Linked DNA regions of Mus musculus. The protein of the gene in region 2 interacts with the protein of the main gene of each other region in a pairwise test. Links are inferred from orthologs where the notes say so. Each region holds a gene or a part of one and is shown on either strand. Other genes may lie near its edges.

Region 1 (4,239 bases), on a different chromosome or scaffold from region 2:
GGCATGTGCTCCTACCCCTTGGCTTTCACCAAGCACTGCAAGATTAAAGCACATTTCAGTCTCTAAATTTCACAGCTCAGCATTCAGGTCACCACAATATATATAAGTGATATCAAAATATCAAACGGACATTGTGTTCTGTGGAGAAGCTATTCTTCAGATCTCCAGATTGCTCACTCTTTTTAAACAAGTCAGTATTTACACTGATGACCAAAATCTCCAAGGTGGAGAACGAGATTCAGGCTAATCTCGTCTACGAAAAGTGGACCCAGAGCACATTACAAAGATGTGTTGAACAATGAGGCCGCAATGACAGTTTTTACATTTTTCTCCCAGTGCACGGAGGTGAATGGAATTCGGGGGCATTTTTCTCATTTGCCTAATCGCAGATCATGTAAAGCAAGGCAAATTCAAAAACTTACAATTGACCAGCTGCCCTAAAAAGAAAAGCATTCAACTCTGCTTCTATTTAGTAGTTGAAAGATTTATTTTATGCTTGTTTCTAATTGTGTGTGTGCATCTGTATGCCTGTCTGTGTGGTATGCACACCTGAAACGAGGTTTCATTTGTTCTAATGTGTTGCCAGCATGCATGCTCACACACACACACACACACACACACACACACACACACATGCTCACATACACACGCTCACACATTGCAAGATGACAGTATGTCTGAGGACAATTTGAGATTGTTATCTAGTTTCATCATTTGATGACAGGACAGCAGCCGGAGAATAACAAAAGTTCAAGGTCACAAAGACAGTTTACTTCACTCGACCAGTTAGAAGAGCTAGAAAGATAAGTGTGTGTGTGTGTGTCTCTGTGTCTGTGTCTGTGTGTCTGTCTATGTGGCGTATGCATACCTGAAAGGAGGTTTCATTTGCTCTAATGTGTTGACAATACACACACACACACACACACACACACACACACGAGAGAGAGAGACAGACAGAGATAGAGAGAGAGACAGAGAGAGACAGAGAGAGAGTGCACGAGATGGATTGTTTTGTTACTGCTGTTTCTGTCTTTATTCCTGTCCTTTCTCACGTGTTAGACATACTCCTGATTAAAGACCAGACAGCTTAGCAGGTAAAGGCTTGGCCTTGCAAACTTAACCATCTGAGTTAAATCTTAAATCCCATGGCTGAGAGAGAGAACTGACTCATGAAACCATCCTGTGACATCCGCACTTGCCTCTACACACATGGGCACACATAGTATACACACAATAAAAAAAAAATAAAATAAAAGCAGATTCCCCCCAAAAGGAAAACCAATATCTATGCATCTTTGAGGTCATGTTTGTATTGTATCGTTTGGATCCGATTCTTTTTCAAAACACGAGATTAGATGTTTTCTCTGGGATTTACAGCAGCTGAGGTCAGCAGTAATGGGACATGCATTCTGCGATCTCTGTTCAGAACAGTTGTCCTACAAGATGCTGAAGGAGGCAGGCTGAACATGAGCAAGCGAGGCAAGCTCCTTACACATGTGTCCATTAAACAAATGCTGGCCTCAACCAGAGGCGACACATCCTGGTCAACCGTCTCTCATCTCTGAGTATCATCTGGCATAGCACAGAGGCCATTAAATGCCACATTTCAAACCCTTGAAGCAGGACTTTACTGGAAGCCCACTCTGTAAATGCTAGGGAAACCAATCATCTCTAGCCGCTAAGTTCATTTGCACACATGAACACCACACCCCACACACACACACACACACACACACACACACACCACATACACCACACACATCATACTCACACACACTACATCCACCGCATACCACACACACACCACATTACACACATGTATACACACCACCCCCACCACCCCCACCCCCACACTACACACACCACACACACATACCACATACGCTACACATACCACACATACATACTACACACACACACTACACACACACTGTACACACACACTGTACACACACATACACACACTTTTCAGCCATTAGTCTTGATCTAAACACAAACTGCCTAGTTTATTTCTTGTACTTGGCTCTGATAATGAAAAAAAACAAAGTTTCCCCCAAAGGACAAGCATTCCACTGCTAGGGACGTGAGAGTGGAGCAAGGCGACTTCTGCATCCCGACTGTGGAATCTTCTCAGCAGGTGATGGAGTACTGTCAAGGAATCGCTCCAGTCTGGACATTTGTTTTAGATTCCAGTCACCTCTTAGTGCCTGGCTTGGTCATGTGAGAATTAGTGGTATTTACATTTCTCCAAAACTTTCTCTTGAACTTGGAATAATCGAGTAAAGAGTGAGGTTTCTCATTGTTTTGTTTTGACAGGAGGCTTTGTTAAGTAGCCCTGACTGGCCTTGAATTTGTACCAATCCCAAGGAGAGACAGAGAGAGAGAGAGAGAGAGAGAGACAGAGAGAGAGAGAGAGAGAGAGAGAGAGAGACTCACTCAGTTTCTCCCTTGGTTAAGAAAATGGAGAGTCTGGCTGACTACTTGGGAACATGTCTGTATTTCTGTTGCTTTTGTGTGTTTCAGAGAATCACATGTAAATCATTCTGAGAAGACACATCAATCTATTCTGCACTCTGTAGAGTCTAACTTCCCTACATATCCGAAGATGTGTGTGTGTGTGTGTGTGTGTGTGTGTGTATGTGTGTGTGTGGTCTTAGCATGAATTGGCTCGAAGTTTCCCCTTTGGCTGGACAGTGTCATATTTTACCCAAAGTGCAGTGTCTTCCTTACCTGAGGCATCTGTGGGTCATTGATGTCCCACGTGAGTTTCATCCCGTAGGAGAGCACAGCATCCTCGTCCTGCGTGCTGTCTGCTGGCATCTGGAGGGGCCTCTAGTTCTCTCTAGTCAGGGCCCTGAAAGAGAGATAAAGCTGAGGAGTGCGCAGGGTGACTCTTTTCCAAGTGAGAAGGAGGTAAGTGAAAGAGGAAGAGGAAGAGGAGGGAGGAGGGGGGAGGAAATAGGAGGGAGGGAGGAGACTGAGACAGAAAGAGACAGAAGGAGACAGAGACAGAGAGAGGCAGATATACACACAAAGAAACAGAGAGACAGATATGGAGGGATTCAGACAGTAAAACAGACAGACAGACAGACAGACAGAGACAGACACACACAACACACACACAGAGACAGAGAAGCACACACATACAGAGACAGAGAAGGACACAGAGAGAAAGACACACACACAAAGAGACACAGAGAGAGAGAGACAGAGAAGGAAACAGAGAAACACACACACACACACACACACAGAGAGAGAGAGAGAGAGAGGGAGAGAGAGAGAGAGAGAGCCTGCAGTGGGTGCCCTGTCATTGGCTGAGGTGCTGAAATGCATCCCTCTGAACAGAAGCACCTTTAAGCAGGTTTGTACAGAGACACTGGATCTCTCTGCCTCTGCTGGGCTACCTCTCCTACACCTGAAGCTCCAGCCTGGAATGCAGGGGAGAGTTTAAGCCGCTGAGCAAAGGGGAATTGAAGTTAAGCAGTAGGCAGTGGGGAGCAAAGAGGACTGTGTCATTTATGGGAAAACCAAACCCGATGGTCTGTCAGCCTCTCTGTTGAGGGCTTAGGTTGAGGCTCTGGAAGCAAAGGTTTCCAGCAGTCTCCTCGGAGCTAGTTCCAGTGCGAGGTGGGAAAATTGAAGGAGAATGAAGAGCCAGCAGCAGGCGCCTCCAGTCTAGGCACAGCTTCCTCAGTTCTCTGGGTTCCTGCAGTTTCTCTGTCCGAGTCCGTGCAGAGAGTAAGCCTAGCATTCCAGTAAGCTCTCAAGCGGACACATACTGTAGCCTGAGACAGACCTGACCCACCAGGAAAAGCCTTGGAAAGCAAATCTGAAGGTTGGGACCGGATGACCCTGGGATAGATGGAGAGAGAGAAAGAACTTAAAGTGTGGTTGGAGCTCTAGTCCAAAAGAATCGCCTCCCTCTTTATACCTCTCCTCTCCTCTCCTCTCCTCTCCTCTCCTCTTCTCTCCTCCCTTCTCTTCCATTCTTTTCTCCTCTCCTTTCCTCTCCTCTCCTTTCCTCTCCTCCCTTCTCCCCTCTCCTCTTCTCTCCTTTCCTCTTCCCTCCCCTCATATCTCTCCCTCTCCCTCTTCTTCTCCCTCTCCCCCATCTCTCTATGCATCCATAATTAAAGAAAAATAGACCAGGATTTTGTGATCTCTCATTTGCCACCCAGAAGAACACCCACGGCAAATGTAGAATGTACTGCTACGGTTGCTGCTATCCCTAGATTACTT
Region 2 (2,404 bases):
GGAAGGAGCCACTTTCATTGCTTGGGGTATGCTGTAAAGGGGCTAAGCTCTCTAAAGGAGCTGAGGGTAGGAAACACCTGAGGCTGAATGGTTCACAGCCTTTGGCAGGATTGCTACTTGCTGTTGCTTGCTGAGAGCTACTCTCCTGGAATCTAAGCTGGAGGAGACAGCTTGAGTCCAGAAAGAGTGATTCCGCTGGAAGGGGGGATATGAAGCCCCTTCTACAAGATCTGAAACTTCCAGGCACTCTGATCTTTGTAGTCCAGAGGGTCCATGGGATTGTAGGTAAATTTCCAGGTGCCTGTGGGGTCCTTGAATTCCAGGCTGTCCACAGGACTGTAGGTGCTATAGCTCTGGCCTGACAAGGAGGTGGGGGACTGGGCCAGGGATGGCCCCACAGAGGGGCCTGAGAGGGGGCTGAGAGCCGGACCCCCAAGTTGGGGCACCATGGGCGAAAGGTAGGGATCCAACCCACTGAAATAGGAACTTGGAGATGCATAAGCTGAAGGGGAAGAACAGAAAGCAGAAGCCGGGGCATAGGTCATGGCATAAGGGGCTGAGGTGAGAGAGGGCCCAGAAGCCACTAGGCCGGCTCTCTGGGCCTCAGGCAAAGGAGCCTCTGAGGCTGGACTCCAAATGGACACGGTGGCCACTGCTGTGGTAGGTGAACCTGAGGGGCCAGGCAGAGATGGGCTGTAAGAATCTGAGATGCCCAAAGGATCTGTACAAACATCTGTAGAGGGTCTCGGGGATGTCCCTGCCTTCCTCTTCGCAGGACGAGCCTTGGTCTGTGCCCCCGGGGGCTGCTGTTGCTGTTTCTGCTGCTGTCGCTGCTGTCTGCATTTCGCCCTACGATTCTTGAACCAGACCTAGATAGAGAGAGGAAATATGGGGGGAAGGGGAGTGAACTCACATGCCAAGAGCAGACAAAGCTGATGGTAAGACCCACACATCACCACTCTGCATCCAATGATAGGGCAGCTCTGTCCATGATCTGTGTACCTGTCCAATCATGCATGTACACGTGCACACAGAAACCTACATGCACTGATCACACACACATATCATACATGCAGGCAATTATACACTACATGCATATACCAGTCATCATGTATCACCTACCTACCTGATTGATCACACATGCATACATACAATCATACATTATTCTCACATAATATGCATGCAGTCACACACACATACACATACATGCATTCAGCCACCCACCTGATCCCATGAATATGTATGCAATTGTGTATTGTCCTCACATATATACATGTAATCATACACATATGAACATATTATATTTACTTGTTCCTGCTTATGAATGCATGCATTATACTCACATATCATACATACAGTCATGCACGTATGAACACATTATATTAACATGCTCCTACTCATGATTATGTATATGTAATCATACATGCATTATAGTCACATATCATACATGCAATCATGTATCTATGCATAAGTACATATATGCATAGATACATGCCATCATGATACATGATACAGCCAATTTCATAGTACACATATGCATGCAATTTTACATATAGATATAATAATACCAAAGCTAGGGATGTAGCTCAGTGGTAGAGCATACACCTGGCATACACAGGGCATCATATAAGAAGAGTGACATATGGAACGTGAGGGGCATTTAGACCACTTCATAAATATGGCTGCTACCCTTGGCTTCTCTCTTTCATCCACTCTGGATCTGACACAGGCCCACAGAAAGTTACAGTAAGGGTATGAGGGGTCCAGGGAGCAGATCATCCTACCTGGACCCTGGACTCAGGCAGATTGATCTTAAGAGCAACCTCCTCACGTGCATACACATCCGGGTACTGGGTCTTGGCAAACAGGGCCTCCAGCTCCTCCAGCTGGCTCCTGGTGAATGTGGTCCGCTCCCGCCGCTGCTTCCTAGGGGCACCTAAGCGGGGGCAAATTAAAGAACCCTCAGGATAGCTAGGTCTGCTCGCCAGAGGCCATGAGGTACAGAGGAATACCTGTCCCAAAGACCTTTCTTCACGTCCATCAGCCTAAACAAGGAGCTTTGATTGATTCTCTGGCCTCCTAGTGGCTGCTCAGTCCCCAGAGGAATTGAGGAATTGTGTTCCAGTCATTCATTCACTGACAGAAACTGGTTTTAGCCCTACAAGAATTTGCCCTTCCATTTTGTTCTTGTTTCATTCCTACCCCCTCCTTCCCTTTCTTCTCTTCCTTCTCCTCCTCTCTCTCCCCTTCCTCCTTTCTTCCTACTTCTCTCTCTCCTATCCTCCCTTTTCTCTTCCCCTTCCTTTTATCCCTCCCCCTCTCTTTCATTACAACAGGGTTTCACTACATAGCCCAGGCTAGCCCTGAAATCATGGTCTCAAGAGATCCTCCTACCTCAGCCTCC

Evidence for each region.
Region 1: the proteins of Crx (region 2) and Gcm2 interact in binary tests that used the Homo sapiens proteins (3 or more experiments, as listed by UniProt). The link is inferred for Mus musculus from reciprocal best matches to the Homo sapiens genes CRX and GCM2.

The regions. Positions count from the first base shown.
Region 1 is NC_000079.6:41,107,135-41,111,373, forward strand, and holds the start of Gcm2 (chorion-specific transcription factor GCMb), read right to left. Parts: upstream 2,855-4,239; 5' UTR 2,821-2,854; coding exon 2,731-2,820; intron 1-2,730. UniProt on the Homo sapiens protein: Transcription factor that binds specific sequences on gene promoters and activate their transcription. Through the regulation of gene transcription, may play a role in parathyroid gland development.
Region 2 is NC_000073.6:15,867,559-15,869,962, forward strand, and holds part of Crx (cone-rod homeobox protein), read right to left. Parts: intron 1,937-2,404; coding exon 1,785-1,936; intron 870-1,784; coding exon 222-869; 3' UTR 1-221. UniProt on the Homo sapiens protein: Transcription factor that binds and transactivates the sequence 5'-TAATC[CA]-3' which is found upstream of several photoreceptor-specific genes, including the opsin genes.